Linked DNA regions of Ovis aries. The protein of the gene in region 5 purifies or fractionates together with the protein of the main gene of each other region. This does not show direct contact. Links are inferred from orthologs where the notes say so. Each region holds a gene or a part of one and is shown on either strand. Other genes may lie near its edges. The genes, in order: CSGALNACT2, CLGN, XXYLT1, METTL9 and SLC30A1.

Region 1 (4,446 bases), on a different chromosome or scaffold from region 5:
AGCCTATAAAATTATTCTGCAATTCTAAGTAACCCTACTCAGTGAAGGTAAACTAAATAAAATGGCATGAATTTTTTTTTTAGGAGCACTTAGCCAAACCACTAAGCTCTGGGAATTACCTGAAGTTCTGCATAAACTGTGCAAATGCTTCAGTTCTTTCAGCAAGTGGCACAATGATATTAATAATTGATCTAGTAATGTCAATCATCTCACTCTTCACTTTCATGAGAGGTCCAAAAGGGCGAAAGAGAGTCACGTGTCTATATTCCATAAGGTCTGCTTTCTTAAAGAAGAGTTCATACTGTGTGCCCTTATCTTTCTCAGTGCGATAATAACCTAAAGGAAAGAATTAGGAACAAAGATGTCTCCATATCAAAGCTCACAAATTCAGTGTGACTATTGACTTTACTCAACGATCAAAAGTGTGAAATCAGACTTGTACAGCTTTTATACATTTGTGAAAATTTTATCCCCATGATACAGTCAGTAAAAACTGCTACTTCAAAAGATTAAAAAAATATTTTGCTCTATTATTCAATCCATAAAATTTACTCCAAATGATGATGATTCCTTTTTACATGACTTTTTTTTAATAGCAGAATCTATCAACACATAAACCAAATGATGAAAATAAAGAGATTACTTCTAGCAATATTAAATTCTAGACCTGAAAGTCACAACTTCTGTGTCAGGTACTAATGGTATAAAGATGGCTACATGGTCCCAGTTCCGTCTAGCAATGGAGACAGAAAAAGGAAATAATACTATAGTGATATACACATGCAGAAACACAACAGAATGAAGTCAGATGAAGAAAAATTAGTGTAAGTTTAAACATGGTGATCTGAGATGCCTCTGGGAGAAAAGCCTGGAAGTCTATTAGGCAATCTGATTTTGTAAGTGTGACACTCAGGAGAGAGATTAGACCTACAGATGTGTCAGTCAGCCAATATCTGGAAATAAAATGGTGAACAAGAGCTTCCTCCTGAGGCTTACAGTCTAACAGAACTACAAACCAGGAAATGGGCAATGCGGTATATTAGGACAGTGCTCTGAGAGGGGGCACAGGGTAGAGATTATAAGAACATATAGGAACACTGTTATCTTAAACTTTTAGGTTGGCGATGACCTCCCCAGAAGAAGTGACATCTAAGCTGAAGTCTGGAAGAGGAACAGGAGCTACTAAATCATTGTCCGTAATTATTTTTCTGATGAGGGAAGTGGCACAATGGAGGAAAACCAAGGGACAAAATATGTTCCATAACGGAGAAAAATCCTGTAAGTGACAGAATCCCAGGAGAATTATATTTAAAAAAAAAAAAGCAGAAGCTACAGAATATAAAACTGGCATAGGTTCCTTTCTTTTTAAGAAGACACGAAGACATCTTACATATCTTAGTTACTTCCTCTGCAGCTTTCAATTCTGCCATAAGCTATAAACATACTGAGTGAAAAGATAAAAAGCCGAGCCTGCAGAAAAACTACAGGAGTTTTGAAAGAAACAACCCATCAAAAACTGCAGGAAGTGACGGGGTAAAAAGAGATGGCTATACGGAGAAGATAGCTGAAATGCCACAGAAAAGTACAAGGCCCTTGGTGACGGCCTCCAAAGGCTGAAGGCATTATATTATAGCAAGTGATACCCATGAAGATTGGGGTGAAAAAAAACAAAACCCAAAAAACTACATGTGGCATACAGAATCATGCAAAGAGAACTTTTAAGAAATATTTGTATTCAAAACGGCTTTAAGCCTACAACTAAATATCTAGCATGGGGTATAAGATGGAGATGGGTTAGGGCCTATAATTATTCCTGATATAATCTATAATTATATCAATCAAATTTCTTAAATGTATACGAGTGCTCCTCAACTTCTGAGTCGTGTCCCATCTTGACATATAAAAATGCTGTGCCCTTTCTGCAGTCTGTATTAAGAAAATGGGTTTATTTCTTTACTTTTCCAAATGCCAAATATGCTTTTCAAAATTATGTATGCCTCCTTGATGTTCTGACATGTGTTTCTCCTCCACTCGAAATACAGAATTACCACTAATCTTAATTAGGTTCTTTTTTCCTTTAGCAAATGGTTTTCAAATTTTGAGCCTTAGTTCATACATTTTAAAAAATATAAAAAAGGAACATCAAAACCAGTTCAGAGATGAATGCAAATACATATACATGCAAATACACACACAACCCTAAGAGCCGTTCAACTTGGGGCGTATTCTGCTATACAAGCTTAGACTTATTCTATTTCCCTGGTTCTTATTTTCTATTTTATTTTGATCACATTATAACTTTTTCTGACATATTATCAGCATACAATAACAGAATTTTGTCATACTAATGTTAACAGATCAACACATTTTTCACATTACCTTCTATGAAGTCATTTTCATTAAATATCAGTTTCTCTCCAAGGGGACCATCCTCATCTTCCTGCTCATCATCTTCATCAGGATTATTAATGACCTCCAAGCCAGCTTCAATAACTTCTACCAATTCATCTCGCTTATCTTTTCTAACTGGCTTTTCCTCAGGATGGCGAGTGAGACCCATTTCCAGCTGGAATACTTTCATTAAGGTAAAACTTTCAAAGGGAATGACTCCATACTCACTAGGTAGTTTGGCTCCTATGCTAACTTCAGCTTTGTCAATTTGTGAATGAAGAAACTCTAAAAGATCACTAGGTGCTTGTTCTTTGTTGCCTTGATAGCTTATGCCATTAGCCCCTACATTTTTTCTCTCTTGCAAAGATCTCATCTTCTCACTCATTTCTTGTAGTTCTTGTTTCAGTTGGGCAATTTGGCGTTTCAGACTGGTTGCTCTGGTTTGATAATGTTCTTCTTGCTCCTGTAGGAGGGCTTGATAATACTCTTTACCATAATTTTCCCCAATGATACCAGGAAGAGATGCATTTCCATCAGTCTGGGGGGCACATTCCAGAAGGTATAAAAATAATATCAAACTGCAGAGTAAAGCAAGACCCAAGAGTAGCCAGTGGGTCCGGGTGTGAAGAATCAACCCTCTTCTAGGCATTCTTATTAATGTGGACTTGCCTAATGAGATGAGCTCTTTGCTTGTTAATACCTTTTGCCAAAGGTTATAAAAAAGTAAAAACAAAATCAAGATTTCCATAAAAAGTACCAAAATGAATTTGGCTGTAGCTTAAAAAATTGCTTCCTTCAGCAGTGAGGACTACTTGCAGACATGAGAAATAATGCATATTTCCTATACTGTTACTGTGATATCCAGAATAAAAAAAACCTGATCTACACAGTCAGATAAAATCCATGGGTGTTGATTTTTCTGAAAGAAACACATCAGAATCAATCAGAATTTTGTTTCCTTAAGTATATCAAACTGTTGACAGCTTTAGTAAGCTTAGCTATGTGAAATCATAGGCAGAGCACCATGAGAGCCACTAATATACTATATAATATTCAGTTAATGCTGGGGGAAAGTATTAAGAAAAATACCTTCTGAAACACTAAAATACATGAAATACTTTCAACCAGAATATCTACACATCCATAACTTGAATGAATCAAGAAAACATTAAAATTATGTTTAGCGTTTAGCATAGTTTGTGTTACACAGATTATATCGGTCCCTAACTATTTGTAAATTACATCACGTATAACTCTATACTAACATAATATTTCAATTAACTCACCATTTCCCAATTATAATATATCACCATTTGGGAGCTGAATTGTTTTTGTTATACTGATAATGGCTTTCTAGAGAGAGAGATTTTCTTACTGTTTATTCAATTTAAGCATTCTACTTTATTAATTTCTATAGCTCAACTTAGTGAATCTAAAAGACTTAAAATTAAGTGCACGGGGGGAAGCAATTTCAGAAGGCCACAGACATCTGGAAAACACATTAAGAAACATTTTTATATCCAAAGTCTTTCTTCCAGTAGATTATTTGAGCATTAGATCACATAATTCTTTCCACTGTATTACACAGCAACAGATTTCCTACAAGTCTGGAAAGGTTTGGAGTCTATATAAAGACATGAACATGTTTTTCTGCAGGAAAACATTAAAGAATCCATTATGTGGGTTAGTCGCTCAGTTGTGTCTGACTCTGCGATCCCATGGACTATAGCCCACCAGGTTCTTCTGTCTATGGAATTCTCCAGGCAAGAATACTGCAGTGGGCTGCCATTCCCTTCTCCAAAGAATCCATTATAAATTTACAGAATTACATGCTATCGTTCATACTACAACCAGTTATGTGAGCTCTTCGATGTTTCTTTCTAACCTTTAAGGATACTTAATTTTAGAAACAGAGAAGATTAAACCTAGGAGACAGGAAGCAGGGAAGGCCTCTACTGCAGAGAGAGCTACTCTACTAAAGAAGTGTCTGTCAAGAAGAATATGTGATACTACAGCTAGCTTTTAAAAGAATTGGTTTCGCCCACTGCAGCAGAA
Region 2 (4,446 bases), on a different chromosome or scaffold from region 5:
AGTGTTAAGATTTGGGAAAAATAACTAGAACATAATAATTAAATTTTAAAAATTTCTATACTCCTCTAAGTGAAAAGTAGTTAAAATGAATAAAGATTTAGATTTCTGTTCCCACTTAGGCCTTAAACTGATAAGGTGACAAGATATTAAGTCTCATTTCTAACAGTAGTAATAACCGTCTCATTTCTATAAACATCAAAAGGCATTCAATCCATTTATGTTATCATAATCTAACAAATGAAAAGAAGACATATATAATTCACTATATAGTTTATAATGAAGTTATAATTTGGTGAAGCTCATATTCTGTCTACATAGATTTAAATATGTTTCTTCATCATTTAGTAATTATTGTATCTATTGACTCATCAAAAGGCCATCTGTATAACCTATAACCAGGACGATACCCTATTATTATCATATGCTAAATACTGTGTACCTCATTAGCATTTTCTATCAGTATCTTCACTCCCCAACCATCTGCAGCCCAGCGGTCTGCTACTTCCTTTTCTGAACAGATAATAAAATTATCAAAGTAGATATCAGAGGTCATGGACCAAAGCTCTAAACCAAGAGCACGGAAAGAAGTCAGAAGAAATGGGTGATTGTCTTCAAAATAATCTGGATTAGGAATTTTTCGAGGACTCCAGACACCCTGGAAAAAAAATAATTTAAATACATTTTCAAACAATAATTTCATTATAAGTGTTACTCAAGAAGCAGTTGCTGTTGAATGAAATTAGCAATACTAACTGGGAAAAAGAAAACTTTAACTGATAATTAATTCATTAGTAATTCACTAGAAATAAAATCTTGTTTCCTCTTATCCTGTACACGATGTTACCTATGAATAATACTGACTTTAAACTCAGCAAAAAAAAGAGGCAGAGTGAAAAATCCCACAGAAACTTGAGTATTTAAATTTCACAACTGATACTATATTAGATGAGTTTCTTTTTTTACATTTAGTAAAGATACTCAAGGCACGATATCATTAAAATTGCTCAAATCAAAGAGATTACTGTATGGCAAAAATGGAACCATGTCTTTTAACATACACTTATGATGGGCATCAACAGTCACTCATGGTTGAATCACAGAACAATTATTCAACACAGAACTTCCATTAAGTCTTAAATGATTAAAGTCAACCAAAGCAAATAAACTGGCCAATGTGATCACTCACTGACTCAGTCTGCCATCACCTATGACTATTCTGTGCCAGGCACTATGCCACCTGCTCTGCTGTGATAATCAAGGCGGACATGGTCCCTTCATCATGGCGTTTAAAGTCTAATGAAGGAAAGACAGATCTCAGACAAAACAGTTACCAAAACAGTCATTCTATGAAGAAAAACTATGGTGAGCAAAAAGAATCTATAACTGTATGTATATAAAATAAATGTTAGAAAATGTCAGTGAATAATTAGATAAAACTACAGCGTTAAACGGACAACATAAGGACTTCTACCCCAAAAGCTAAGCATACTCAAAAAAATCTGTTTTATATTAGGAAAAAAAATTCAATTTTAATAAAACCTGAGAGTAAGGAACGCATTATTTAAGCACAGACTTCAATTACTAAAATGTACAGTGTGAGTCCTCTTGATCAGAACTCAGTTCTTATATTTAATCCTAAAATAAAATATTCCAAAGTGATGTCAACTGATTACTCAGGAAAATAGTATGAAGTGATTTATCTTTAGTTATTAGTTTTATTACCCCAGGAAATTAAAAGATGCTTTACTTTAAAAAAAAGTATTTATTTATCGGCTGTCTCAGGGCTCTGTGGCTGCACTGACTTTCCCGCTAGATGTGGCAAGTGGGGACAACTCTCTAGTTGCAGAGGGCAGATTGGAGAGAACACTGTGGTGGCCTCTCCTGTTGCAGACCACGGGCTCCTGGGCACACAGGCTTTAGCAGCCGTGGTTCCTGGGCTCTAGCAAACAGGCTCAATAGCTGTGGCATACCGGCTTAGCTTCTCCCCGGCTCGTGAGATGTTCCCTAACCGGGGATCAAACCCGTGTCTCCTGCACTGGCAGGCAGATTCTTTACCACTGAGCCTCCAGGGAAGCAAGCCCCACTTTATTTTTTAAACATAAATTGGTTGCAGTCTATTTTCTTTGACTTCAGATAGCTAAGGCACATTATTATAAACCAAATTTCCTCAAGTTAACATAACATTATTAATAACTAGATGTATAAGAGAAATAGGCACAGCATTTTAAAAAGTTTACTGTGGGACGGGAATAAGTGGTTATTACCTGGTAGTTAGGGTTATCTATCATCGGCGGTCTCCATACTCCTTTGTATTTCGGATTATCTATCATGGGAGGGCTCCATTCACCACACCCAATCCGACATGCTGGGTTAGAAATATGAGGTGCCTCCCATTCTCCATCCATGTCTTCATTCCTTAGGGTATTAGAACAAAGCATGCGGAGTGACCTCAAGACTCCTGTCAGTCATATCAATGGTAACAAAAGAGCATGTAAGAAGCAGGAAACTGACATCTGAAGGTGAAGAATGCTTACCAGTCAAGGGGTTTCTCAGCATGAGGATCAGGAATAAATTTCGGTTCATTATCAAGCCAGCCATCAGGTTTAACAGCACTTGAATCTTCTATTTGGGCAGGTTCACTTTCATCCCTGTAAATACAGTATTTTATGCTAATTACTAATTATTCAAACAGTTAAAAATGCACATTACAGAATTCAGAAGGTACCAATAGGCACTTCCTACCTCTGTGAACAGAAGAGAAGCAAAAAGCAAAGGAGAAAAGGAAAGGTAACACCCATTTGAATGCAGAGTTCTAAAGAATAGCAAGGAGAGACAAGAAAGCCTTCCTCAGTGATCAGTGAAAAGAAATAGAGGCAAACAATAGAATGGGAAAGACTAGAGATCTCTTCAAGAAAATTAGAGATTCCAAGGAAACATTTCACGCAAAGATGGGCTCAATAAAGGACAGAAATGGTAGGGAACTAATGGAAGCAGAAGATATTAAGAAGAGGTGGCAAGAATACACAGAAGAACTATACAAAAAAGATCTTCATGACCCAGATAACCATGATGGTGTGATCACTCACCTAGAGCCAGACATCCTGAAATGTTAAATCAAGTGGGCCTTAGGAAGCATCATTACGAACAAAGCTAGTGGAGGTGACAGAATTCCAGTTGAGCTATTTCAAATCCTAAAGATGACGCTGTGAAAGTGCTGCACTCAACATGCTAGCAAATTTGGAAAACTCAGCAGTGGCCACAGGACTGGAAAAGGTCAATATTCATTCTAATCCCTAAGAAAGGCAATGCCAAAGAATGCTCAAACTACCACACAATTGCACTCATCTCACACGCTAGTAAAGTAATGCTCAAAATTCTCCAAGCCAAGCTTCAGCAATACGTGAACTGTGGACTTCCAGATGTTCAAGTTGGTTTTAGAAAAGGCAGAGGAACCAGAGATCAAATTGCCAACATCTGCTGGATCATCAAAAAAGCAAGAAGAGTTTCAGAAAAAACATTTATTTCTCTTTACTCACTATGCCAAAGCCTTTGACTGTGTGGATCACAATAAACTGTGGAAAATTCTTAAAGAGATGGCAATACCAGACCACCTGACCTGCCTCTTGAGAAATCTGTATGCAGGTCAGGAAGCAAGAGTTAGAACTGGATATGGAACAACAGACTGGTTCCAAATAGGAAAAGGAGTACGTCAAGGCTGTATATTGTCACCCTGCTTATTTAACTTCTATGCAGAGTACATCATGAGAAACACTGGGCTGGAAGAAGCACAAGCTGAAATCAAGATTGCTGGGAGAAATATCAATAACCTCAGATATGTAGATGGCACCACCCTTATGGCAGAAAGTAAAGAGGAACTAAAAGCCTCTTGATGAAAGTGAAAGAGGAGAGTGAAAAAGTTGGCTTAAAGCTCAACATTCAGAAAACTAAGATCATGGCATCTGGTCCTATCACTTCATGGAAAATAGATGGAGAAACAGTGGAAACAGTGGCAGACTTTATTTTGGGGGGGCTCCAAAATCACTGCAGATGGTGACTGCAGCCATGAAATAAAAAGACACTTACTCCTTGGAAGGAAAGTTATGACCAACAGAGACAGCCTATTAAAAAGCAGAGACATTACTTTGCCAACAAAGGTCCATCTAGTCAAGGCTATGGTTTTTCCAGTAGTCATGTATGCATGTGAGGGTTGGACTATAAAGAAAGTTGAGCACCAAAGAATTGATGCATTTTAACTGTGGTGGCAGGAGTCAACGTTGACATTTTAGGAATCAGTAAACTAAAATGGACTGGAATGAGTGAATTTAACTCAGATGACCATTATATCTACTACTGTGGGCAAGAATCCTTTAGAAGAAATGGAGTAGCCATCATAGTCAACAAAAGAGTCCGAAATGCAGTACTTGGATACAATCTCAAAACGACAGA
Region 3 (4,446 bases), on a different chromosome or scaffold from region 5:
AGGGCTGTGATGTGCTTGTTCTGGCTGTCCAAGTGCTGACAGCTCTGGGGCTGCAGGCTTGGGCGGGTGGCACCGAGGGCTGGCCTGGGAGGAACCTGGGCAGGTGGAGGGAAAGGGCAGAGGTAAGTGATGAAACGGAGCCTACCTGCTTGGGGCCTTCTCGGGCACTGCCCACATCTGTCATTTCTCCTGCAGCAGGCCTGCTGACAGTGTCAGCAAGCCAGACAGGGGCCTCATGGGGCTCCTCCTTTCATGGTCGGCACCCTGGTTGGACAGGTCCTTGACCCTGGAGTTGAGGTGGCGGCCACCTCGCAGGCCCGTCCTGTCCTGTTAGCTGCCAGGGAAGATGGAGGTGGAAAGTCATCTGCAGATCTCGTGGGGGGATTGAAGGAGGAGGAGGAGGGACATCTGGGCTCCGGCCTGGGTGCATTTATTGAGCTCCTTTTGTCTGCAGTGGAATGTGCTGGGTGTTGCGGGGCACACGAGCAACAGGGAAGGCTTGCAAGACGTATGTGAGCAGAGCGCATGGTAATCTATGTCTCATGTGAGGCTGGGGCTCTCTGTGGGATGGGCTGATCATCTGGAATAATGCCAAACAAGGGAAGCTGACTCAGGAGGCTCTCCTGTCTCTAATTGCTGATCTTGCTGATGTTTTCTTCTGTGGGTCACTGGAAAAGAGGAGCTGTGTGGAGACGAAAGAGTGTAAGGCTTGGAGTCTGGAGGCCACGGTTCAGTTCTGGCTCTGGCAGTTGTTAGCGCTGTGATCTTGGACGAGTGTAACGTCTCTGAGTACCTACTTTCTCAGTTGTAGTTGGATGTCTGCCTGCTGAAGGCCAGATTGTGGTGGGGATCTGTGTGTGTGTGAGAGGGTTTCATAAATTGCAGAGCCCTGTGACAGAGCTGCTGGTGACCTCTCTAGACTCTACGTGTTTTGAGGAAAGTGGTGCCTGGTTTCTCCTGATACCTCTCTCAGCACCTCCAGAGTGTCTGGGACACTCAAGAAATGGTAGTTGAGTCAATGGATGAGTTGACTGCATCTCCAGGCATTTTTCATTTTCTAGTGGCCAGATCCTCTCCCTGTCACACTGTTGGCAGGGAGGTGGAATGTCTGACTGCGACGCAGAACACGTGTAGTGTCCTCCAGGCGACGCTGGAGCCAGTGCCAGGCCCCCAGACTTGCTGAAGGTCCTCACTTCATGACCAGACCCTTTAACTTGGTTTCCAGTCTCTGGGCACAGAGCTTCCTCCAGTGTGGCGCAGTCTGAATTGCAGAACCAGAGGCAGACCGGGGGCAGCTCCCGTTCCCTGGCGCCCACTCCTCTTCCACTGTGCCCCACGTGTCTGCCTACACATCCTCACACTTGGTGCCCCATCCCCACTGCTGGACTCTGCTGACTCCCCATTGTTCCCCGTTTCCTTAGCTCTTCGAGATTCCATGTCCCTCTCTTGTGGGCCCTGGAGAGGCCATATCTGTCCTGTCCACGGCCCGTGTGTGTCCTGGGTCCCCGCCTGGGGTGCTCACTCTTGTCGTTCCCTGTGCCCTCCTGCAGGTCGTCTTTCACGATGTTGGTGTGCTGACAGACAAGCTCTTCCCTGTCGTGGAGGCTATGCAGAAGCACTTCAGTGCTGGCTCTGGGACCTACTACAGCGACTCCATCTTCTTCCTCTCAGTGGCCATGCATCAGATCATGCCCAAAGGTAACCTGAGCAGTGGGGCAGTGGGCCCTGGCCTGTGACTTTGCATCTGTTTTCCTGGCTCCAGTACTGCTGGTGCCCTGTATCAGAGAGCAGACAGAGCTCCACTCCACACGATGGAGAGGGCAGGGGCAGCCAAGGCCTCCGTGTGCAGCACTCCCTGCACAGAGACTCCAGGGCCGGGCCCTGGGCTGCACAGCTCCCAGGGCCCACTCACGAGTCCCCAGTGTGAGCTGTGCAGGACCGACACCCTGAGTTGGGGCGCCTGGGCTCCAGCCCTGACTCTGCTCCTCACGCACCCACACCTCTCTGAGACTCAGTTTGCTTATTTGTAAAATGGCAGGTTGGAATAAATGACACTGTATCTCAGTCTGTGATCCTGATCTTTCTGGTTTGAGCCTGTACTTATCTGACTTAACTTATCAAACCTAGATGTTGGAAGTGCACACTATGACTTAGGAGGACTTTTTCTGAAACTCTGATGCACAATTATTTTCTGGGCTTTGGTCCCTGTGGGGCAGAAGAGGTGGATTGTCTGGTCTGTGATAGGTCAGCCTTGTGTGGAAGCGCCGGCAGGTTATCCTTGGACTAGAAGCCTTGTAGGGGGTTGGGGGTCTCATTTGTGGGGTATACCGGACAAATTTACCGGGTATATTTGTGGGGTATACAGAACAAATAAAGGTTCTGGGTTCTTCACCTCCAAATAGCCCTGGGTATTGCCCCCTGCCCACTCCTATTTCTAGCTACAGTGAGCCATGAGCTGAGCTTTGTAGGGGTGAGGAGGGGAGTTCTGGGATCTTGGGGTAGCAGCTCTCCAAACTGTGAGCCTGGCCACTTGGGAGGTCACTGCTCCTGCCCAGCAGCCCCGAGGGGGAGAGGAGCTGAGCACCGCTGCCCGAATTCCTGGTGAAGCAGGAACTCAGGAGACAGAGGCTGAGGCCGGGTTCCTGTTGGCAGGTTGTCCTAGCATAGGAAATCTAGCCCATCCATCTTGGCTGAGACTTTGTCTCCCTGGGGCAAGTTCCTGCACCCGCCTGTTCTCTTAGCTGTCAGGCGAGGGCTCAGGGAGCTTCGTGAGTGCGGGTCCAAAGAGAGAGGGGACTCACCCACCTGAAGGGCGCGGGAGGAGAGCTGACATTTGTGATGCTGTGGGGAGACCAGGTGCAGCTCCGGCAGCGCCCCGAGTCCCCCACAGCCCTGGAGCTCACACACGTGTGTGCTGACCGAGGAGCTGAGTGACTGGCAGTCCCTCCTCTCCCCTCAGGTGGGCAGGTGTGATCTCTCTGGGCAGACCCTGTGCAGGTGCTCTGGGCATCTCAGCCCGCAGGAAGCTATGGCCCTGCCCTCCTGGATTCCAGGGAGCAGACAGATATAGGAGCTGGTCCCAGCTGTGCTGCTGACCCCGTGTGCCTTTGCTGAGACCTCACTGTCCCCACCTGGAATTGCAGGAGCTGACCTAGTGAAGAGTCCAGGCTTCCAGGAATCACCCTAGGAGATTTTGTAGTTCTGGGGAGTAGAGAGAAGAGGGGTCTTACCCTTATCCTCTCTCTCCCACCCGCGCCTCACTCCTCACAGTCCATTTTGGTCGCTGTGTAGAGCAGGCTTGGGAGCAGGATTCTATTTGGTCAAAGGGTTTTGTGGTTAAACTAGCAACTTGAGATTCTCGACCAGATGGGCCTTGAGGGCCTGCCCAGTCCTGTTGTGCAGGACACACGATTGGCCTTGAAAGAAGCTCAGTGACAGAAGATGTGATGAAGAACATCAGGGGATCTGGGGGGAGGCAGGCCTCCTTCTCCTTCCCCTCCTCCCTCATCAGCTGGTAGGTCTCTGCCCATCATATGCTAAGCTCTAGGCCAGGTCATGCTTTGGGGCACCCAGGGGCTGGTCAGGACCAGGCTGTGAACTCTAAGTGCAGATGACAAGAATTAGGGACCCAGGGTCCATTCTCTGCCTCGATGACTGTGGTTAGGGACCCAGGGTGCTTCCTGTCTGCCTTGCCGACGTTGCCCTGCCCAGTAGCCTGGCCCTGTCCCTGGGCCCACATCTTCAGAGAAGAGACTGTGGCCTGGGTCTTGCTGTCTGTGCAACAGGTCAGATCAGAGGTGTCCCTCCACGTGCTCCACGGGCCCTGGGGGGGCCAGTGTCAGGAGGTGGGGATGGTGCTGTGTGAGATGTGCCGACCCAAACACAGACACTTTTCTTGGGTTTTTAGGTGAATGATGCTAGAGGTTCATTTATCCGTCCACCTAAAGTCTGCTTCCTAAGAAGCACATTATTAGGAGTTCCTAAAGTTTGATGATCATAAAATAAAGCGAGCCGTCCTGGAGTTCTTCCACGGAGCTTGGGTGTTTCCGCCCAGCAGTCTGGCCGCTGCACAACACTTGGCAGTGTTGCAAAACTCCTCCTGGGCAGAGCCTTTGGAATTCCTGTAATTTTCTGAAGGAGCTTGGTTTCCAAAGCACTGTTAGTGCTGTCTTGGGTTCGTCATGTCTCTCTATTGCTGCCTTGTTTTGTTTCCATTGTTTTCAATCATAGAAATTGCTATTGTCTTGTGCTTTGTTGATGATTTGGTTCTTGTGTAATTGCCACATTCTTGCTATTTTGGTTTATTTCGTTTCTTTCTCAGTGTTCTTTTTTCTCTGGGAAAGTGAGAATGGGATGTGGGTGGATCATAAACCTTTGGTCTCACCCAGGAGGGCTGGTTTGGAAAAGCTTGTGTTCCCTTGAGTTACATCTCAGGAAGTCCTGTCT
Region 4 (4,446 bases), on a different chromosome or scaffold from region 5:
CCTTTATTGTTTATTTTTATTCGTAACACTTATCACCAACAACATGCCATTTGTTTACCATCTGTCTTCCTCACTAGAACCAAGCTCCATGAAGACAAAAGTTCTTTGAGACCCCATGGACTACACGGTCTGCCAGGCTCCTCTGTCCGTGGAATTTTCCAAGAAAGAATATTGGAGTGGGTTGCCATTTCCTACTCCAAGGGTTCTTCCTGGCCCAGGGATTGATGGGACCTAAAGTGTGATGTACCAGGGAGATTTCTGGAAAAGGTTTCCCTCACTTTAAAAAAAAAAAAGTATGGGAGAAAATGCTTCTTTCTTTCCCAGGCTCTGTCATGCCTACACATGATGCCTGGCGCCGCATCAGCCATTTTGTAACTTCGGGGGATGTCAACACACGGAAGATGAAGAAATGAAAGCAAGTTCTGAACTTCAGTGGGTGCTTTCATCACTGAATTAACCAACCCTGGAATCACTCTTCTAAGATAAACTCTTATTTTTCAGTTGCTTCTTCTGTTTCTTGAAACAGATAACATCCCGATACCTACTTACACATGTGTGGAAGACTTGCCTAAGAATATTCATTTCACTTGTCTTTACAAAGCAAACTGCCAGTATCCATAAGTACGTCAACAGAGGCCTCATCAAGTAAAAGTTACCAATGCCCAGCGGTGTACTGGTAAATGTTTACCAATGAGCTAGAAGAAGGGAGAGTCTATTTGTAGAGTTTGCCCGTTTCCATGGTGTAAGTACTCCCCTCGAGGTCAACTTCAATAATGGCCAAGTTTAACAACCAGCTCACTAAATTCCTGCCAATACAACAATCAGCTCTCCTGAGCCTATAAAACCAGCTCCAGCACACCAATGCTTACACGCAGACAAGGACATAGACACTTACGAATAATTTCCTAGATATACTTAAGCGAAAAAGGGCAACAAAAGTATTTATAATGGGCTTGGATTATAGAATCAATTTTTTTCATGTCCAAGCATAGTTGCATAGACTATCTTTAGAAAAATAGTCAAGAAACGTGAACAAGATTGTGGAACTGGAGTGGATAAGAAAATTCATTATATACTCTCTAGGAAGCTGCTTAACACTTTTTTTTTTTAACCATGAATTACCTTTTTACAAAAATCACAATTTAAAAAAATTAAACTTTACTAAATTTTCAATATAAATTTTTGCAATATAAGTCTCCTTTTCTTGATTACATACTTTCCCCCTTTTTGATGCTTGAAACAATTCTAGTGAGATTTAACCCCTAACCAGAACTGGGTCAGTACACCAAACAAACTGAAATTAAAAAGATATATCTTGCATTTTTCCCCTAAATTGATCTAAGCAATAAAATTGCTGTTGTTCAACTTTAAGACCAATCAAAAAAACTATACCAGTAATTACTTCATCTACAATTGCTTTTGTTAAAATAAATTGATTCAGAATGCAAAGTACACTCAGATATTCTTAAACCAGTCCTGTATTCATGAACTCACACAGCAAGATCACTTTGTACCTCATAAGTCTTCACATGGGGTCACATGGAAATCATCAGGATCTAACTCAGAGAAAGGAAGCAATAACGGAGTACCACAAGCAGTCTACAAAACTTATAGGTCACTAAAGGTCACCCACAGCAACAAGGCTCTGCATCTCAGGTTTGCTCTATGTCACACACCAGACCACTTGAATTGAACAGGCAATTCGGCACATCCACAAGCAAGGAGTCTGTTTTCAGACCTTTACTAGAGTCTGCCCTCTTGTCCAGTTTAATGTCCTCTCAATTTTTAGTGTCAGAAACACAAGGAAATAGATTTCATGTTTAGACTGACGTTTCTTCCCCTGCTCATGTCCACCTCCTGCTATGCCAGGAAATAGCATTAAAGTTCCATCATGTGGTTGCCCAACAGGACACAAGAAACCCAGACCTGCCAGCTGATGACTAGTGATGGCAATGCAGTGAGAGGGAGCCGTGGTATAACTACCGAGGGAACAGCACTGAAACAGGTCAGGCCACTGAACTATCAAGGGTGACATTTCCCTACCCCACAAACTTATGCGTGGTGTGGTACTCACATGTTCAAGCAGTTTTTTCTTTACCATGACAAAATGGCTCAACAAAGGAATGTAAAAATGGAGATGCTAGATGTAGGGGCGGGAGGGGACGACATCTATTCTATCTATCCTCTTTCTACCTTCCTATGTCTAAAGAATTCTCCATTTTCCCCACCATCAACAACAAATCCACAAACATTTGGTAAACGTTAAAGACAAGCACTGAATTAGAAGGAACTAAGACCTGATGGGGGAAAAAAATAAGAACAAGAAGAAACAAAGGGGCAAGTGAGTGGCAACACAAATCCATGGTTATAAGCAAACTTGAGCATTATTCCTTAGGATGAAGATTTTTACAGGTATTTGATAACTATGATGCTAGCAAAATATTACTGGACTTCTCAAGAATGCCAACAAGTTCTTAAAGATTTATTTGAACCCAAAGTTGAACAAGGCAGTAAAAGAGGAAAAGATTTTCAAATATTAACATGTGTTACTTATATAATAAATAAATTTTACATTATTGTACAATAACTTACAAAAATGCAAATGAGGCTTAAAGTCAAAACTTTCAACATGATCTAAAATGCAAATCAAATAAGTTAAAGCCAAGTGTGAATTAATGTGACTATGGCCAAAAGTCATAATAAATATGAGGCAGTATAAAATCCAACCATTTCTTCTGAGATATTCTTCATTCAGTATTGTTAAAGAGTAAGACCATGTGACTGAAAAACCAAACGTCAAAGAAATGATACGCGTTGGGACACAAATGGTCTTCTAAAGGGAAAATGGATAACAATAGCATTTATCATTTTAGGGACAAGAGATGTAAAATACAAGATAGCTATGACATTTAACAAGTATATTCAGATAGATTAAAAGGCATCATTTACTGCTTGACTCAGCTCAAAAAGCTAATAAGTTAGTGGCGAAAGCTCCATTTAACAGCATTTCAGGCTTTTAATCTTGAGCAGGCAAATCCAGCTCAGTATTAATTATTATCACTGCAAAGAGAGTACAAAGAGAGCACTATAAAATCCACATTAAGACAAAAGTTAACTGAGGCGATATTTTACATGGGTTAACTGTACTTTGTTAAATATCAGGGTATTCTAAGAAATACCAGATCATGTCTAATTGTGCACAGCACAGAATCACAAACACCAGTGCTGGATAATAGGCCTACTAAGTGGGTGTCCACACTTACCGTTCTCCACATAGGGATGAAAGGGTAAGACCAGAGCAAGGATGACCCTGCCTCTGGTTGGCTCCAAGACACTTCTGATATCTTTTAACAAAGTCAGAGGCTGATCACAGCGGTCCAGCAAATTTAAGCAGCTGATGACATCATACTGGAACCCTGTCTTCTGCCATTCATTTATACCAAGCACTCTGGAAAAATTAGAAAGATACAAAAACCCTTAAAGACATCTTTAAAAACATTTAGATGCCAATAAAGACTTTGTCTTCCAAATCAAAGTAAGTTCAAAATCTTCATTTACAATTTATATTTGCAGTAATAATATGGCCATGCAAAAATAAACAACCATATTTCTTTAAATTCAACATTTTACCTATTTCCAAAACATACAAAGTTTCCTTTGTAAGAATTAGTATGTTGAATAAGTACAAAGATATAGATGATAAAAATGGTTATGAAACTAGAGCATCAAATTCTTGAACATCAATTAACGAACAAAGAATTCTACTTTTACTTTCACTGGGATGTAATTGTAGATTCCTAGGGTGCCTCCTATTTTAAGAATGGCAGAAGGCAATGGCAGCCCACTCCAGTACTCTTGCCTGGGAAATCCCATGGATTGAGGAGCCTGATAGGATGGGCTGCAGTCCATGGGGTCGCTAAGAGTTGGACACGATTGAGCGATTTCACTTCACTTTCACTTTTCACTGTCATGCATTGGAGAAGGAAATGGCAACCCACTCCAGTGTTCTTGCCTGGAGAATCCCAGGGATTGGGGAGCCTGGTGGGCTGCCGTCTATGGGGTCGCACAGAGTCAGACACGACTGACGCAACTTAGCAGCAGCAGCAGCAGGGTGATATAAGATATTTTCCATTTACAACCTATGATCTTTTGCGCACATCTATGTTCTAGGAGAGAGATACTATTTCATACTCTAGAATCTTCATATCTAAATAACTATAGAAAAAATAAAGCACAGGACATCCTACTACAACAGTAAGCGAGACCACGGTTAACACACCTCTCTCAGTGCTCAGTACCTCATCACACATAGTCACTCTCTCTCCTGCTCCTTCCCTCTCTCCCCTCCCTGCCTCTGCACCCTAAGAACACTTTCTAGTCCTTTACAGTGTTTTACTCACAGAGGGTAGGAATCCTTATATCAAGAGTCTGTTTGTCACAGTGTTA
Region 5 (5,246 bases):
CGTGGCTCCTCAGTGTCTATATAGGAGGACCTGATTTGGAGGAGGTTTGAGGCTGTATTCATATACATGAATTCACAAACATCCATTGTCTTCACCAAGGGAGAGAAGATTATGGAAGTCCCCAATCCCATCTCCCCACTCCTTAGCAGTGCCACCATCCAGACTTCACTGAAAATTCAGCACATTAAAAAACAGGCTCAGTATTTTCTCCTTAAGAGCAGCTCCTTGCACACCCTTTCCAACTTCTCCACCTGTTTTAAGCAATATGTTCCTTGTTGGGTTAAAAACTATGTTTTTAAAATTCTCCTCATCAGCTTTCACTCTCCCAATACCCAATTAATCAAGTCCTGTCAATTCTTGCTCAATAAATATCTCAGGAAGTTTCCTCCATTCTTTTGCATTCTGGAAGAACAGAAATAGAAGAGGATCTGGCTCTCTAGTCTGGATGGTGAGATGAGAAACACCATATACAAGTGAATAAACTTTTCTAGAAATAATATTTTTTTAAATGCAAAAATACATGGCCCCAAACAAGCCTTATATACAGACCCTGAGGCACTGGCTAGCACTGTCTTTGTCTCCCAGCAATCCAGAGCAGTTGGAGGTCCTTTTCGCTGTTGAGGGGCCGAGTGAGGCCTTTGGGAGTCCAGTTCAGGCCACTCTGACTCTAGCCACCCCTCCACTTTCAAGAAGCCTTCACTTTCAAGTTAGCTAGTCTTCATTCAGAGCACAGCAAGGTATGTATCCAATCTGAAGCAGTGTTGGCACAATTTATCAGGAGTATTTCACCGTAATTTAAAATTTTATATATTTCACCTCCACCTGGACAGAAGCTTATTCCGTATTCTCACTGCCCCTCCCGTTCCCCATAGCAACCAACACTGGGTTCTGCTGTTTGTAGTGTATAAATACAATGTTTAAGTCTTAGAGCCTTAGAATTTTAAAGTCAGGGGGAATCTTAAGATCTCCTCTTGTTCAGTCCTTTACTCTCCATAGACGAAGAAACAGGTCTAGAGAGACCGGCTGACTTGCCCAAAGTCACCCAGCTGGCTAGTGGCAAAGCAAGAACCAGAACCCAGGTTTCTCCTGCTCTAAGTCTGCACCCTGAATGATCCTTAGATAATCAGTGACAGAAATATCTGACTTCACACAAGGTCTCCGGGCGATGGTGGCGATAGGGGGTGATTTGCTTTATTGAAACATTTACAAAGATTCCATTCAACGCCTCGCAGGACCGTCCTGGACGAACTCCTCAACTCGGTGTTGAGCAGTCACAAGTTACGTGCTGCACTTGTTTATGAGTCTGTCGGCCCTAATCGCGGTTCTTCTGACAGAAGCGCGTCCCCGAGCCTCCCGCCGCCCCTCACACTGGGGCTCCCCCTCCTGGCCCCTCCCAGGCTGCCGACTGTCACACGGCGGCCGAGCGGCCCGCCCCACGTGGACCCGGCTGGGAGGATCAAAGTCTGTTTGCTGGCTGGCCCCCGGCAGGTGTGAGGTGGGCTGCTAGGACCCGCAGCGCCTGGACAAGAGGCCCGCCACGCCGCGGGGACCCCGCCTGCCTCGCCCTGCCCCTCCCCCTCCTGCTGCACGCGGCCCGCGCCCCCTACCCTCCCCCACGACGCCCGTCGCTGCACCCGGCCGCGGCCCCCGGCCCACGCCCGGCTCCTGAAGGGAAAGGCCCCGCCCCCATCTGTTGAAGCCGCGACACCGCCTCCTCCCCGCCCCTCTGAGCCTCCGCCCAATAGCGAGCGCGGGTGGGCGGGACGCGGCGGCTGTCGTGAGGGGGTTCTGGCCAATGAGAAGACGTGCCGGGCCTGGTGGGCGGGGCGGCGAGGCCTTGTCACGCTCGGGTCCGTGTGAAAACGGGGGTTCCGAGTGCAAAGCAAAGTTTTTTTGTAAACCGTCTGCAAAGGCGGGGGGGGTGGCGGGTGGCGAAGAAGGCGCCCGACACCGGGCCGAGTGCAGCAGCCGTGGCCGCCGCCTCTTTAGCTCTTCAGGCGTCGCCTCCTCGGTCCGCGCCACACCGGAGGAAGACCGCCGGAGGGGAAGACCTGCGCGGAGAACCCGCAGATGCTTGGAGCCTCCTCAGCGCTGAGCTGCCGGTCGCCCGCCCCCGCCGCCCGCCCGCCCGCTCCCTCTCCGGCTCTCTGTCGGCGGGCTTCGGGAGCCCCAGCTCCCTGCCGCCTCCGCCGCCGCCCCGCTGTGGGTGTGGGGGGCTGCTGGGGCTGAGCCGGGCCTCGGCGCCGGCTCCGAGGACGGACGCCTGAGGAGGAGCTGCGCGCCGCTGGCCGGCCGGGGACGCCCGCAGGCGCGGGGGCTCGGCGGCTAGACCCCGGGCTCGCCCGCTCCTGTCCAGTCACCGAGGCCCCGCGGCAGACTCCCGAGCCCCGCGCCGCTCGCCCTCCCTCCCTCCGTCGCCGGCTCCTCGGCGCCTCGCCGCCTCCTCAGGAGTGTCCGGGCCGCGCTCGGGCGGGCTCCTCAGCCGCAGCCATGGGGTGCTGGGGTCGAAACCGGGGCCGGCTGCTCTGCATGCTGTTACTGACCTTCATGTTCATGGTCCTGGAGGTGGTGGTGAGCCGGGTGACCACGTCCCTGGCGATGCTCTCCGACTCCTTCCACATGCTGTCGGACGTGCTGGCGCTGGTGGTGGCGCTGGTGGCCGAGCGCTTCGCCCGGCGGACCCACGCCACCCAGAAGAACACCTTCGGCTGGATCCGGGCGGAGGTGATGGGGGCTCTGGTGAACGCCATCTTCCTGACCGGCCTCTGCTTCGCCATCCTGCTGGAGGCCATCGAGCGCTTCATCGAGCCGCACGAGATGCAGCAGCCACTGGTGGTCTTCGGGGTCGGCGTGGCGGGGCTGGTGGTCAACGTGCTGGGGCTCTGTCTCTTTCACCACCACAGCGGCTTCGGCGACGACTCCAGCCACAGCCACTCGCACGGGGGGCACAGCCACGGCCTCCCCAAGGGGGCCCGCAGCAAGAGCAGCCGCGCCGGGGGTAGCGACGACGCCGTGACCCCGGGCGAGCAGGGTCCCGACCAGGAGGAGACCAACATCCTGGTGGCCAACAGCAGCAACTCCAACGGGCTGAAATTGGACCAGACAGGTGAGGAGAGAAAAGTCGCCGCCGCAGGTGGTTGGCCCTGGGGAGCCCAGACCCCGGGATGGCCCCGGGCGGGGTGGCCCGCACGCCCCCTGGCGCCCGAGCCGACCGCGCCGCGCCGCCTCGGGGCCGCTCGTTGCCGGGCGGGCTCCCGCACCTGCGGGGAAGCCGCCGAAACAGACGACCCCCTCCACCCCCGCTCCCCGCTGTCAGCCGGGTGTCAGGAGCCGGGGAAGTGCGTCCTCCGCCCCCATATGGGGGTGTAGATGGCACCGCGGTGGTGAGAGCGGGCAAAAGGTCAGGAGGTGACCCTCAGCCCGCTGCGGTCCGCAGCTGCACTTGGCAGTCTCTTACGGGCTGTCGTTCCAAGAGACTGTCTGATTTTGGCGTTAGCAGGATCAGCAATGCTTCCTAATTAAATTTCTTGGCCCTCTTGGAAAACCGGAGAGAATCTCGATTTGATCCTTAGTTGTTGGATGTTTGGAACCTTGCTCTGTCCAAGTAGCGCTTTTGCCCTTCAAACAAGTTTCTTAATGTTGTATTCAGAGCGATCTTAGTGATTGTCTTTCCTGAACTCAAAATCTTGGTTAAAGGTTTCTGTTATGAACAGCAATGCATGTTTCGGTTAATTTTCTAAAGTCTAAACCCAATCCTGAAAATCCTAGACTTAAGACCTGTCTGGGCATGTTTTTTGGGTTTTTTTTTTTTTTTTTTTTTTTGCGGAAGGCATGTTTTAACATTTCACTTAGGATTTGTCGTTTCTGTACTAAGGTAAAAGTGATGATAATTTATTCATCTTATATTTTTAATGTGTAGTTTTCATTCTAAACATTAAGTGCTCTTGGAAGGAAATTGGGAAATAGGTGTTGAAAGAGGAGATGGGAAAAGGAATCATCCTAATGCCCTACTAACCAATCTCAGTGATATTTTTAATAGCTTGGTGTATTTCCTCCCACTGTTTTCCATTTATATGGAAATATCAATTTCTGTTTACCTATTTGTGTGAAACCACACACGCATGACACTACATAGACAATTTTCCTCTTTCTAGGATTCAGGATATCATGTTAATGAAATTGAAGTTGTACATTGAAAACGTTTAATAAACAATTGAATTTCCTCTCACTTCTACTCTGCAAGGAGTTATTCCAAAGAATATTAAGCTGTTCTGGTGTGTATAATTCCTTAAAAGGAGCTAGTAGGATAGATAGTGATCATTTAGTTCCAACTTTTCGTGAAGTCTCTGTGTGATTGTTGATAGGCTTATATGGTTGATTTGTCAGTTTCTAAACCCCTTCTATCAAGGGACTCTTATCATTTATAAGTGACAAAAGTCTAAAAGTTAACCTTAACGCTTTAATGATGAAAAGTGACTAGAGCTCTGTGTCAGGTCAGCTGTTTGTATTAGACTTATCCATAGTTGCATATGATTTGGGGGTGATAGCATTCAATTTTGTTGTTTTTGATATATACCAACAAGTATAGAATGTTCCCAGGACCCCACAGAAAAGGTAAACTTCATTTGGAAGTGGGAAGGTAGGAGGTTGGAGTATGAGAAAGGAGTATCATCTTAATGATGATACTTAATTTACCCCTGACCATATATCCTGGCCTGTACCCAGTATGTCAACTTATATTAAATTGCTCTGAGCACATTTCTTCGTATGTTTTATGAAAAATTTTCACCTCCATCTCTTAAATGGAATTAGGCAAGAATGTTTATATAAACACTTAAGATGTGTTTGATACAGAATTTTTATTTCTTTGTAGATCCAGAAAAGTCCAGAAATGATGCAATGGAAGTACAAGTGAATGGGAATCTTATCAGAGAACCCGAAGAGGTGGAATTGGAAGAGGATGAAGATAAGACTGGACAACTTAACATGCGTGGAGTTTTTCTGCATGTCTTTGGAGATGCTTTGGGTTCAGTGATTGTGGTAGTAAATGCCTTAGTCTTTTACTTTAATTGGAAAGGTTGTCCTGAAGGGGAGATTTGTGTGAACCCATGTACACCTGACCCCTGCAAAGCATTTGTAGAATTAGTTAATAGTACTCAGGCAACAGTTCAAGAGGCTGGTCCTTGCTGGGTACTGTATTTAGATCCAACTCTTTGTATTGTAATGGTTTGTATACTTCTTTACAC

Evidence for each region.
Region 1: the proteins of SLC30A1 (region 5) and CSGALNACT2 purify together in Homo sapiens (co-immunoprecipitation; 3 studies listed by BioGRID and IntAct, counting the BioPlex papers as one, with this or other methods). This does not show direct contact. The link is inferred for Ovis aries from reciprocal best matches to the Homo sapiens genes SLC30A1 and CSGALNACT2.
Region 2: the proteins of SLC30A1 (region 5) and CLGN purify together in Homo sapiens (co-immunoprecipitation; 3 studies listed by BioGRID and IntAct, with this or other methods). This does not show direct contact. The link is inferred for Ovis aries from reciprocal best matches to the Homo sapiens genes SLC30A1 and CLGN.
Region 3: the proteins of SLC30A1 (region 5) and XXYLT1 purify together in Homo sapiens (co-immunoprecipitation; 3 studies listed by BioGRID and IntAct, with this or other methods). This does not show direct contact. The link is inferred for Ovis aries from reciprocal best matches to the Homo sapiens genes SLC30A1 and XXYLT1.
Region 4: the proteins of SLC30A1 (region 5) and METTL9 purify together in Homo sapiens (co-immunoprecipitation; 3 studies listed by BioGRID and IntAct, with this or other methods). This does not show direct contact. The link is inferred for Ovis aries from reciprocal best matches to the Homo sapiens genes SLC30A1 and METTL9.

What each region holds. Positions count from the first base shown.
Region 1 is NC_056078.1:12,883,420-12,887,865, reverse strand, and holds part of CSGALNACT2 (chondroitin sulfate N-acetylgalactosaminyltransferase 2), read right to left. Parts: intron 3,311-4,446; 5' UTR 3,140-3,310; coding exon 2,380-3,139; intron 337-2,379; coding exon 120-336; intron 1-119. UniProt on the Homo sapiens protein: Transfers 1,4-N-acetylgalactosamine (GalNAc) from UDP-GalNAc to the non-reducing end of glucuronic acid (GlcUA). Required for addition of the first GalNAc to the core tetrasaccharide linker and for elongation of chondroitin chains.
Region 2 is NC_056070.1:17,388,144-17,392,589, reverse strand, and holds part of CLGN (calmegin), read right to left. Parts: intron 2,649-4,446; coding exon 2,535-2,648; intron 2,416-2,534; coding exon 2,265-2,415; intron 656-2,264; coding exon 440-655; intron 1-439. UniProt on the Homo sapiens protein: Functions during spermatogenesis as a chaperone for a range of client proteins that are important for sperm adhesion onto the egg zona pellucida and for subsequent penetration of the zona pellucida.
Region 3 is NC_056054.1:193,168,677-193,173,122, forward strand, and holds part of XXYLT1 (xyloside xylosyltransferase 1), read left to right. Parts: intron 1-1,550; coding exon 1,551-1,698; intron 1,699-4,446. UniProt on the Homo sapiens protein: Alpha-1,3-xylosyltransferase, which elongates the O-linked xylose-glucose disaccharide attached to EGF-like repeats in the extracellular domain of target proteins by catalyzing the addition of the second xylose.
Region 4 is NC_056077.1:20,675,808-20,680,253, reverse strand, and holds part of METTL9 (protein-L-histidine N-pros-methyltransferase), read right to left. Parts: intron 3,449-4,446; coding exon 3,264-3,448; intron 1-3,263. UniProt on the Homo sapiens protein: Protein-histidine N-methyltransferase that specifically catalyzes 1-methylhistidine (pros-methylhistidine) methylation of target proteins.
Region 5 is NC_056065.1:71,351,438-71,356,683, forward strand, and holds the start of SLC30A1 (proton-coupled zinc antiporter SLC30A1), read left to right. Parts: upstream 1-2,020; 5' UTR 2,021-2,490; coding exon 2,491-3,106; exon of another isoform or gene 3,107-3,200; intron 3,201-4,873; coding exon 4,874-5,246. UniProt on the Homo sapiens protein: Zinc ion:proton antiporter that could function at the plasma membrane mediating zinc efflux from cells against its electrochemical gradient protecting them from intracellular zinc accumulation and toxicity.